Linked DNA regions of Arabidopsis thaliana. The protein of the gene in region 1 interacts with the protein of each later gene in a pairwise test. Each region holds a gene or a part of one and is shown on either strand. Other genes may lie near its edges.

Region 1 (7,197 bases):
CTCGTCTATTCACGTAACCAAAAAATGCTTAAATTCGGAGTCATGGATAGAAATACTTTATTAGACAATACTTTTCTAAAAAAATGCCTATCTCGTAAATAACTCTTTCTTAATAGATAAATAAATTTCCTATAAATAATCTTTTTTGAAATAATTGATAAAAAATTTGGTCAACTTATCCTTATATATTATTTGAAGGACGTCATAAAACGGATATGCTTTTTAATAAAGGATATTCTTATTTCATACATCTATTCAAATAAGCCATGGTCGGTTGACACAATTTTTATGTTAAGACCACCAGCTGCCCAAAAACATTATGCTAAGAAATATATGCAATTTTATATGAAACCCAAACCATTGGATATAGAGTTTACTTACATACGAATAAAAAAAACTCGCAGCTATTTGAATTTGAGTAGTATTCACATTACTTTAGCTTCTTTGTTTTCTTTATTAAAAAAAAAAGATGGTGGTTTCCGAATTTCGAATCGATTCTATTTCTGCAGATTTAACACTTTAACTGATAAGTAGCTTATGGATGAAAGATAGTAATTTCTTTGACCAATAGGCAATAGGCACGATCATTGATTGGTTACTTGCATAGAAAAGCATTTCATCGTAAAGAAACAAAAATATTTTTGTCAACCATATCAAATAAGATTAAGAGTTTCATGCCAAAGTCAAACTTCCGAATATGCTTTAAATGGGAATATCATATTTGCATATGAATAAATAAGTAGCTTTTTATCCAACCAGATCCAGTGGGGTTTTAATAGTTTTTATAAAAATTAATCTCTTATATATTGCGTATAATTTTCTGATAAATATACCTACAATTTCCAGAGCTTTGACCAAAAACACCGTCCGTATTTCTACGTTAGAGAGACAAAGCAAGGCGGAGATTGAACGTTGTAACGCGGCGGAAGACAGCGGAGGATGGGCGATCTACTCGATTGGATTATCTCTTTCTTATTCCTCGCAACGCTTATAATCATCGTTATTTATCAGGTTTTTTGCCCTAACTTATAATTAATTCCCTAATATAGTTTTGTGGTTAAAACCAATTCATAGAGAAAGAAATAATTCTCTTAGCAATTTTCTTGAATATTTGCTTTTTTGTTTTTGATGCAGCTGACATGTTTGGCAGATTTAGAGTTCGATCGCATAAACCCTTACGATGTATCTAGCAGAATAAACCGAATGGTTCTACCGGAATTTGGTTTACAAGGACTTCTTTGCTTATACTATATCCTAACCGGACATTGGTTCATGGCGGTTTTGTCTCTTCCCCACCTTTTCTACAACATTAGACTGTAAGTCAAATACTCAAATTAGACAATTTACTCATTCATTTGTTCATTGCTCGAAACCAACCGGGTAATTTGGTTCACCGAGTTCGGTTTAATTTGATAATGTCTCTTCGTTATTTCCGGTTAAAGATACATGAAGAGGGAACATTTGGCAGACGTAACAGAGTTATACAACACAAATAAATGGGAGCAAAAGAAACGAGTGTACAAGATTGGTCATATAGCTCTCTCCATTTTTATCACAACCTATTGGTACATTTCTTTCTCTTATATATATCACTACTAATTTTCATATCTCCATTGTTTACGAAGCTAAATCCAAATTGTTATTTTTCTCTATACTTTTCGGTTTAAGGTTGATCCACTCGGCATTAGGAGACATCTAAGGTTGGAGAAACCACCGGACTACATCAATTTATTTTACATTTTAAGATCGAATTCCTAATGGATTTTGGTGACTACGAAGATGTTTATGTAGTTCTTCATTTTTCTGTTTCAGCATTTTTGTTATGGGCTATATTCAGAAACGTTATATTTTCTTATTTTTTTGAGTACAAATTTAATGCACATCAATGAAAGATTACTTTTTCACAAACTTGCTGTGTAGTGAGTATCCCTGTATATCGTTATGGTAGCTAGCTTGTGTATGATACATTGAAATTGAAGTCAGATTAGTGGTAAAGTCGGAAGTAATCTCGACGGTTTGTTTCTGTGATAAGTGTGAATGATAGTTTTGAAACATGTTTGGGAACTCTTGATCCTTAGATTTTAAGGTTCTAGGCTAAGATCTCCCTATATGACCTTGTGCCTCTTGAAACAAGTGAAGCAAGTCCAGTGTGCACCGAACTATAGATGTTGTAGATATCATGTCAATAGAATCTTTGATGGTTTGTCGAAATAGAGATAGTGATTCTTTCTCTCCAGGGATAATGGTTCTTGTGTCATCATAAGAAACATCTTAGGTGTACATTAAGAGATGGAAATCTAGAACTCCAAAATTAGTCTCCATAGCTTTCATGTTACGCGTTCAGATAAGTCAAGTGTGGTTAATTTGTATTCTTTTACACGGATATGAAACTACAATGACATGCAAAACCAGGACCATGACTCGTTAGCAAAAAATTAAGGAAACAAGATGATTCAATCCTAATAAAAAGATAGAAATTATCCTACAAGTGACAACAGTGGAACCAAAATAAAGACCCTAAAACCCTATAAATAATACTACCATTTTAGTAAAATCCTAATGTAGATAAACAACCAAATCAAACTTGTTAACAGAAAATACAGAGAAAGATTGGATTTCAAGTTACATTGACATTAATATCGGTATGCTTGTTTCTTGGATCGGAAGCTAAAGAAGTCTGCCATGTATTATTATTGACCGGAAGAGACGAGACCGAATGGATTGTCCGGTGATCAGCTGCACTAGAGATAGGAATTGCAGCGGTAGGACTCGACAACATGAAATCATGTTTGTTCTTTTTCGGTTTCTGATCTTGATGGTCAGTGCCCGCTAAAAAACTTCCTACAACCACCTGTTGATTTCAAACACAAGGAAATTAAATCCTCCGGTTAACAAACTTTGCAGCTTTTTGGACTGGCAAATATCGTACCTGAACCGGACTCGCGGCTACTAGTAAACCGGCGAGGCCACCGCCTACTACACGTCCATCGGGACTTGCTAACGATACACTCATTCCTCCCGTTCTACTTCGTGTTCCGCCTGAATCATTAGGCATGAATGACCCGGATAATGATAATATCTCAAACCGACCCTGAAAATTAACACTATAAATCATCTTACACTTTCAACAAAAATTTGATCGATCGATGAGAATGAAATCTACATACTTCGTATGTCAATGTGCCGCCAGAGGAATCTGGCTGACGAAGTGTAACGCTTGAAATAACACCGTTTGCTGACAGAACACAAATAGAGCGAGGTCCTTGTTGCGAAAACGAGATTATCTTCATTGTTACATCCTAATTATGCCAAAATACATCATTCAAAACTTGTAAAAGATAGAAAAAAGGACTTGATGTCTAGATCTAAAGAAAAATTCCGATGAGATTACCTCGCCGGTGTTGACTGTGATTATATGAGGTGTGAAATTACCACCGACGGAGCAAGGAGCCCATTCACCTACACATAACAGAACACAAGAGGAACATTTTTATTAATTAATTTGTAATATTGACTAATCATGTACTTTGTTGTCCCTAAATTTAAGTAGCCAAGTAGAAAACAAAAATCTCTAATTTTGACCAACATGTTTAACTTATAAAACTGCTACTAAATTAAGCTTAGTATTGCATTTAAGAAGTGACAATTAACAACATGACATATATGTGTAGATACTTGTAGCTTTAGGACACATCTATAACCATAGACAAATTAAACATAGAAACAAAACAGAGACCCCACTTACTTAAGCATGCATGAAAATGAGATCCCAGACCCAAATTTTTTTTTTTTTTTGTCAATAGAGTTAGATTGGTCTACGAAACAAGATTCCGACAAGATAAAAATAGTTTTATCTTTTGTTCTTTCTTAAATACTCTTCTTAAAAAACAGAGAAGAAAACAGAGCAAAGAAGATATAATTACCCAAATTCTCAACTTGGTGATGATACTTTGTTCTGTTAAACGAGTTCGTTGGTTTCACTTTGCTACGTTTCTCAGAAGCGGAGAAATCGATGACGTGTGAACTCGGCGGCGGAAGATGCGACGGCGCCGGCGCTGATGAAATCGGTTTAGGAGATAACGCTACAACAGTCCCGTCCGGTCCATACTTCCTTGGCCGTCCACGCTTCTTCTTCATCAGTCCACCGGAGATACCTTCCATCGCGGCCGTCGTAGTCGTAGTCGTCACCGTCGAAATTTGCAGCGGCGGAGGAGCTGTGTGATGAGACGATGGCTGTGGTGGAGGAGGAGTGACAGAGGTGGGAGATTGGTTTGAGCTTTCTGATCTTTGAGCTACGTGGAAATCTGACGGCGCGTCGGATCTAACCACCGTAATACCACCGTCGTTACCGGTGGTTGATCTAACAGCTTCTCCGGTAGACTCCATATTTAAGACCATTAGCTTCTTTTTCTTTCTATTTTTGTTATGTTTCCTTTATTTCTTCTAGATTTTCAAGAACCCATGTAAATTTTGGGTTTTGATTAAAGATAAACAAAGATGAGATTAAAGGATTAAAAGATAAATAACAACAAAGAAATATACTTAAGAGCTAGAAGAAGAAAATCAAACTGAGAATTATTTTTGGAGAAAAAATATATTGCTAAGAACAGAGGTTGGAAATTAGGAAGGAAAATAAGAAAATGTTGGAGAGGAAAGTGAAGGAAATTAGATTTATTTATGCTTTGTGAATTAGATTGAAGAAATAAAAAATGGTTTATTTATCTTGTCATTAAATAAGGTATTTTATCTTTTTATATAATGATTTTTTATATTGTAAGATTTGTTTATGTCTGTCCATTTTTTTACTTTTATACAATAATGCGAAAAGGAAATCTTTAATAGCGTGATTATTTTAATATAGCTCGCACTGGATTTATATTAAATTTTCATTTAGGAATATATAGATATTCGTGTTTTTAGCTGGAATCCGATGGGAGGGAATTAATAAATATACATAATAAAATAAGAAATAGTATAGTAGACAAAATTAAAGTGGGTATACAAAATTCAATTAAATTTTTTTTGGGAAAGACAAAGATGGCCTGCGTATATTGTTTTCTTAAAAATAATAAAATATATTTTCTTTACGTGTGCTTTATTTTATTTATAAATATTCAATTTCTCCAGTTGAAAAATACTTTTTCCTTAATTAATAATCGGGCTTTGGAGTAAAGGACAAGTAAAACTAGGCTGCTAAAATGATAAATAAATCATTTAGTATGGAAATAATTTAAATTAATTTAACATCTAACAATATATGAGGCCAGCAAAAACGTATTAAATCGCATAACTATAATAACTTAAAAGAACCAACATCTAAATCTAACTCCCAATTTATCCATTTCTTTCAATTTTCAATGTAAGACATAGAGCCCAATTCTTTCCACTGAACAAACAATAGGACATAAACGTGATCGATGATGGGTTAAAAACCTAGGTATATTGAAATGTTTAAACATGTAACGAGTCAAGAGATGGTAATATACTAATATGTAGTGTTGGTCAAGTTTATCTACGACGAACATGAATCTCCTAATACATGTTCACTTTTACTCAATGTTTTAAAACCTATACCGGAATAAAAGTTAAAGTTTTGTAGATCACCAGGTCGACTGTGTCGATGATTATAGAGTTTTGTAATTAATTTGGTGCATAACAAAAAAAATGGTACTAACAAATTAGTAATTAAATGGAATACTTGGTGGGTGCTTAAACACTTAATTCGATAAAATTGTTTTCTGAAAATTGAATTCCAATCTGATTGTTAGAATTTACTACAGTACCATTTTATATTCTTTCGTGTATTTGTGGAAATCCGAAGGGCTTTTATTTTGCAAACCCTTTTAATTAGTTGGAGTATTGTTTTGTGTTTGCTTTACATTCATTTCTTTCCTTTTACATTTCCCAAAGTCTTCGTCACAATTATAGCTTACCCAACTAATTTATGCCCATTTGAAAACAGCAGTAATAAACTCTAATCCGTAGTTTTTCAGTTACAAGTTTTAGATTACTTAAATATAAATAATGTTGACCTACTAAAATCAATTTCTAGATATTCTTTTCTTTTCAGTTTTTTTTTTTCTGGCTCTTTTAGCTAATAATAATATAATGAAAGTTCATTTAATTCTCTCAATCTGTATAAAATATTTGATGAACACAAATTTTAATTAAATTACAGGAAATGGAAGCAATCATGAATCGTAAAATTATTTTAATACAATTTTATTTGGGACCACCAAGCATCGAGTCATTGACCAATAGAAATCCAAATCTAATTCGCAGAAAAATGAAGATTAATAAAATAACCAGAGTTTAGATAAGAACGAACCATATATTAATCGTCTAATGTTTTCTTTTCATTACCATGTTTAAATAAGTCTTTTCTGTTAAATAAAATAATTAGAGTGATGTGCTCGATGTGCATTTCCTCCGCGACTTTATTTTATTTTATTCTCTTTTAAAAAGAAATGGAGTAAAATATTGATTTCACATGGCTTTTACATTTAGAAAATTTTCATTTATAATTGTGGTCGGCATTCTGACCTAACTTGGTATCATTATACAGCTCTTGGAAAAGATAAATATTATTAAGATTTGACTGAGCCCATTTAAAATCAGAAAGCAAAAGAAGTTTACATTATAACTTTATAAGTATTTATTTTAATTCTATTTAGATTTTCTACTTTAATGTTTAAATCAAAATCTTAAATTTTCAATTGATGGAATCAAGTACTTGATTATTTTGTTGTCAACCGATATTAGTTAGAGTTTAATATAGTCATTTCTGAGCAATTTTGTTTACATATATGATATAATGCGGTTGGATATGAACCTTTCTTGTCAAATTATCCGCTTTAACATTTACGTTATAAGAGATTCAATATTTTTAAAAAATCTGTGAATATTTTTTTATCGTTCTCTAATTCGTCCAAATACATTGAGAAACACAGCCATTCAGATGGAGAAGACTCGTTTTTTTCTTTAAAATTATATTATTATAAAAATAGTTTTAAACTTGGTGATAATCTGGAAAAATATTTCCAAATAAGAAATGTTCTTTAACTTTTGTTTTGGTAAGTATAAATCTTCTCTAACTCTATCAGGAATTAAAACAATTCTAATCATTTTTAAGTCACTCATTTTATTTTTCCAAACATTTTTTACTCAATCGTTTACAAAATATATATATATATATAT
Region 2 (5,782 bases), on another chromosome or scaffold:
AAATCATGAAATAATCAAGAATCCAATGAAATCTTTGTGAGACCCGAAATTTGTGTACACTAGACAAAGAGTGACTAGTCTTTGGCCTTTAGAATGAATCTATATGCACTACCTAAATATACATAAATAGAATGTACAAACAACCATGTGCGTATGATGCACAAAAGGTGGGACAAGAGTCAAGACTTATAAGACTAAGACACAAATTTAAAAGGACTTCACATAATTCTAATGGACTTGACTCCAACTCTACACATCTTGAGATGACAAACATCAAAACTGTTTCATGAGCTTTCACAGAGAACGAAGTTTCAGTGTTTCAAATATTTAAGAAAACACATGATTGTGAACAGGTTTATGAATACTAGCAGGCAAAGATATTATGGCCAACCTGAATTTACCATTGTGCTCTATCACTAAAGGGCAACATAGAAGCCAAAATAACTCATAGATTGATAAAGAAATATAAATATTTGACACAGTTACACTCAACACCAAACGTTGGACAATACCAAATGTTGGCATATGAATCTGAATATACAGATTATCAAACTCCTCACCTAGAATCAAAGTAGAAGTATGTACACTTTCTTCCCAGTAAACATATAAGGCACAAGACAGATCATCATGTTTGTTTTCAGATACAAAATTGGCCACAAGCAACCAAAAAAGGAATGAAAACACACCTTAATGAATAAAACAAAGAAGAAACACCAAGGCAGACAATAACACATGTGGAATAAAAATCTAATGAACCCAAACCTCATTGATTAGCTCTTGGGTCCATTTTTCATCTACTTGTATGTATACCACAATTCTGACCCCATCAATACTCTTCAATCTCAGTCACACTTTCCTGAAACACACAGCAAGAAAAAAACGATATTGATGGATCAGTATCAGGTTGCTACCAAATTACATCCACATGTCAGCAGATTAATAGAATTAATCAATGCAAGTGAAAACGTATCCTTTATGATGCACTGTTTTCTCCTACAACGCAATGACCATAAGAAAAAAGACATCTTTTCATTGCAATGAGAAATTTTACAGTGTTCTCTTATTTTGCAATTGACACCATTGCTAAACGATACGAATATTTAAAGCTAAAGTTAAGTAAAGCATTTTTCATTTGCTCGGAGATTCAAGCATTTTGATAATCCGATTAATTCTACGGCAAACACTTAAAAAGCTGAACCAACAATCAACTTGAATTCGCAATGATTGGCACAGTAAAATTTCAATGAAATTAAGAAATACATTGGACTTGTGAACAGAAACCAGGCATTATTAAAGAAACGCCCACCTTCAATACACGTAGAAGACGGAGCAGTACCGGAATTTCGCCGGCGCTGACGTGAGGACTCCGAGTTTTTCGAACATGACCAAGTTAACGAAAATGTAATCTACAATTTTAAAAGGCCCAATAACTGGCCCATATAAATAAATTTTAAACAAAATGTAGCCCATATTGTCTCCAAGTAATTTGTTTTGTTAAAACAGAAAAACGCTTTTTTATGTCTCTTTCTTATCTGTTTTTCAGACCAAAGTTACGAAGCTCATATTGACATCGACAAGCCTTTTAAATTCAAAAAAAGAGAAGAGCATAATTCTGAATTTTGCGGCAACATTTAAACTTTATCGCAAGTTGGTTTTATCCAATCGTTCATACACACTATCCAATCAAATTCATATGCATCTTCGTATCAAAATTGTCAGTTTTTTCTGGGTTATGTGCAACTTGTGAATGAATTTTGCAAAGAAATCAACAAGAACCAATAACGGAAAGGAAAGATTTCATAACTGTTTGCTTAAAAGAGCTGTAAGTTCAACAATTAACACCATGTACTTGGTAAGCAAATAAAAGAGCGATAGGAAACAAGAATCCAGAATACTAATACATCATCGTAAAAATCTAAACTTGAATTAGGTAAATAAAAGCTTAAGCACGTTCTCCACGAATTCTTCTAGCCAATTGAATGTCCTTAGGCATGATCGTAACCCTCTTGGCGTGAATAGCGCAGAGATTAGTATCCTCGAAAAGTCCAACTAGGTATGCCTCAGCCGCCTCTTGAAGAGCTAACACCGCGTGACTCTGAAACCTCAGATCCGTCTGCAAAATTTAACCTAATTAGTATACCTAATTCCATAACATAACCTAATTGATAAGTTTTAATCCGCCGCTAATGAGTATAAATTTTACCTTGAAGTCCTGAGCTATTTCCCGAACGAGACGCTGGAAGGGAAGCTTGCGGATCAACAATTCAGTACTCTTCTGGTACTTACGAATCTCACGAAGAGCGACGGTTCCTGGACGGTAACGGTGAGGCTTCTTGACTCCTCCGGTGGTTGGTGCTGATTTCCTCGCCGCCTGTATTGAAGAATTCGTTAGAGACGCAATCGAATACTCAAATTAGATAAACCCTAGATCCCCTTCCAACCAATTTCATCATAAACAAAATCAAAACCGCAAGATTCATACTAAATTAGATCATAAACTAAAAATTCAACACAATATAGAAAACCTAGATCATATTTTTCAGATTTCGTCCACAAAAACTCGTTATTCAACCCAAATTTGAACCCTAGATCTACTATTTCGGTATGAATGAAAGATAGAAGGACAAACCTTGGTGGCAAGCTGCTTCCTGGGAGCTTTACCTCCGGTGGATTTCCTAGCGGTTTGCTTGGTACGAGCCATTGTTTCTTCCAAAAGATGTGACTTTTCGATAAGCTTGATAGAGAAGCTTTTGATTTGATTATCAGGAAGCGAGTTTTGTTTTCTTGATGATTGTGTGGGAATAGTAAAAGGTGATTATGATTATATAGGTGAATGTTTTAGTCGGTTAATATTAGGAAATACAGAAGTGGTCCAATCTTCACATTTTCGACGGTCAAGATTCGACTTATGAGAGCGAATACTGACGTTGGCGATCTGCGTCCTCGCTTCTGATTGGTTTAATCTTGGGAGGATCGATGACGTGGCTAGTTTTGTGTTTCTTTTCTACGTTTGTCGTTTGAAGTAATCACGATTTTAGTTGGGTTAGAAAAAAGGTAATGACGATTTGATCTACATGTTTGGTAATTAGCGATGATGGGCCGAGTCGTATCCCTTGGTAGGAGTACTGCGTTGGGTTCAGGCCCAACTGATAAGGCATTGAGAGTTCGTCAGCTGTGTTCTGAATATCGATCCGAACCAAATTTGGTACGGCCGCTCCGATCCGAGATTTCAAGTTGGTTGGGTTAAAACCATCACATATATGACATGGACATGGTTGAATTATAAGTTTATAACCTCATCATAATTAAAATTCGGTTTGGTATTAGAACATGAAAACATTCCAGCCCAACTCTTAACTAAAATCCGATCGACCAAAAAGTTGCTCATGCATGATATCGTGTTGAGTTAAATCTATTCTTAATTGGCTTTTATAACGTGAAAATGCAAGTTTTTAACAGAACATATGTTTTCCTGCTCCACATGTATCATAGATCTTTACAAAAGGTTTCTTTTAAAAAGAATTGGAGTGTAAGTGTGGAACGTTAACGAATTCACGTACTATACAAAAGTTGTACGGAAAAAGCTATATATATTTAATACCCAACATTATTCAAGTTTATCACTTCTGCTTATGGCCATTGAAGCCTAAATTTGAATGCACAAAATACAGTTTTAAGTTTTACGTGTTTTAAAATAAGAATTAAGAACGACATAAAGTAATTTAATCTCTCTGATGAAATGTAATTAGGTAACAAAGTTTTTCTCTTTTCCTAAGGGGGTGAGCAAATTCTAGTACAGACCTATAATAATCTGTCTAGTTAATATTATGTGTATATTTACTAGATGGATATTGTTGGTTCAGAAAAAGGCATTACACAAAAGATAGTAATCGATGAGATAGTTGAGTATTTTGTAAGAACAAGAGTTAGTGATTGATCCCAATTAAACCTCACAGTTTCAGTCACTACGTATGAACATGGTGCAAGAGGGCGGAAACAGACTGCCCGATGCCGATTCATTAAATGGATTCGATCTCTAGTACTTTTTATATTAGTTTACCAAAATATATACTTAAAAGAATTCACAGGACATAACAATTATACTGTAAACTCATTGCTGCATAGCAGCATTAATGAAAATATATATGCTTAAGAAGAGAAAATCAAACGAGAAGATCCTTAGAACTCAACAAGTAAGTGTTAGTAAGTAACCCATGGCCATGGGGAATGTATCCAAGCTTCCACATGCACTTGGATTGACCCAAGTTTATTTGTTTTAATACATACTATATTTTATTACCTTTGCATTTAATTCATATTTCCTTTGATATATTAACTTGACTGCAATATACAAAAACGATGTAAATTGATATTAAGCAAATATTATAACCAAATCACGTCACATGCAGACTATGTGATATGTAGGATGGATAAGTGGTCGAGGTTTGGAACTTTGGATTATTGATCAACCATTGTTTTTGATATTTGTCTGGATCACTCCCACACTTTATTTTAAGGTGAGAGTGGATAATTGTTTTTTTTAGTTACTGGAATATTGTGGGTTCTATGTAATTGGCCATATTTTATCCCATAAAAATGTACGAGTTAAGTATAATTTGAGAGACGATCAGATTCAAGTCTATTGAGAGACAATCATCAAGTTTATATTTTCTCCAAACATTAAACGAGAAATATTTTGGGTTCTTTGTTGGAGATGAAACGTTAGCGCACATGGCGGCGTGGACACATTCGTAAACTACAAAAACTAGTGTTTTGGTACGCCGCATTACATTATTGTTCGTCTCTTATAATATACTTTTGTTTTGATAGCAATAAACTTACTTATTTGTAAAAAATAAATTAAACTGATTTGCCTCTGGTGACAAAATCTTTAAAACAGACGATTATGTTTTGACTATATAGTATAAAATTAAAATTACATTTGTTTAAGTACATTTCCTCCAATTCCTGCTACGCATGCATGTGGTGGGTTTCATTTATTTTATTAACTAACCAGAAACCTCACACTTCCGTGCGCTGAAATTATACTAATCTTATAATGATATAATTTAGTATTCATTCAAAATTTGTATATTAACTTTTTCTCGAACATTTTTTTTTTGTGTTTAGTTTGAAGAATTGAAAACTTTGACCCAAGAGCGGCGGTTGTAGCTAGCCACTCCTTCGCATGTACGACCACGAACTAACTGATAACACTTTTTTACATCTTGAAAGTTGAAACATTAAACATTTATATCTTTAAATTAAATTGTATATACAAATATTTGTTTGCGATCTTTTGTTCGACGTGATATGTCCGGCTTATATGAAGTTCCCAATTATGGAATCGTTTAGGGCTTTTAAATTTGACGTCGCCTCCTATAAACCCAATGTTTTGCTGCTCAATATGAGATCTGCAGGAATAGAAACTTGCATATTTTGGTACGAGAAATAGCTACACATAATTTAAAGATATAAGACTTTGATATCATATAATGAATAATAAAGAGAGGAATGCCTCTTTTATGTGTCTCTAAATCCCAATGTGGTGTTAAAGTATTTCCAATGACTGCTCTTTTTGTCCAACACTCTTTAGTTTACATTAGCACATGCTATTATTTTCCTACCACATACTACAAATTACTTCTCCTTTTTTCAATACGTGACAACTTTTTTCTAACCATTATAAGTTTATTACATTACTAATCATTGACAATTTCATTCAATTATTTCTAAGCAAATTCTTTTGTCTCTAATGACTGCCAGTTTATCATGTTTTTCC

What was found. The genes of interacting proteins can lie anywhere in the genome.
Region 2: the proteins of AHL1 (region 1) and AT5G10980 interact in a two-hybrid assay, tested with the Arabidopsis thaliana proteins (one large-scale study listed by BioGRID).

What each region holds. Positions count from the first base shown.
Region 1 is NC_003075.7:7,236,667-7,243,863, reverse strand, and holds AHL1 (AT-hook motif nuclear-localized protein 1), read right to left. Parts: upstream 4,665-7,197; 5' UTR 4,399-4,664; coding exon 3,924-4,398; intron 3,460-3,923; coding exon 3,392-3,459; intron 3,300-3,391; coding exon 3,168-3,299; intron 3,092-3,167; coding exon 2,930-3,091; intron 2,852-2,929; coding exon 2,618-2,851; 3' UTR 2,189-2,617; downstream 1-2,188. Other genes in the region: AT4G12090 (Cornichon family protein), read left to right, coding at 940-1,011, 1,135-1,316, 1,443-1,565, 1,669-1,699. UniProt on the Arabidopsis thaliana protein: Transcription factor that specifically binds AT-rich DNA sequences related to the nuclear matrix attachment regions (MARs). May play a function in the positioning of chromatin fibers within the nucleus.
Region 2 is NC_003076.8:3,470,649-3,476,430, forward strand, and holds AT5G10980 (Histone superfamily protein), read right to left. Parts: upstream 2,923-5,782; 5' UTR 2,702-2,922; coding exon 2,630-2,701; intron 2,372-2,629; coding exon 2,204-2,371; intron 2,114-2,203; coding exon 1,943-2,113; 3' UTR 1,757-1,942; downstream 1-1,756. UniProt on the Arabidopsis thaliana protein: Variant histone H3 which replaces conventional H3 in a wide range of nucleosomes in active genes. Constitutes the predominant form of histone H3 in non-dividing cells and is incorporated into chromatin independently of DNA synthesis.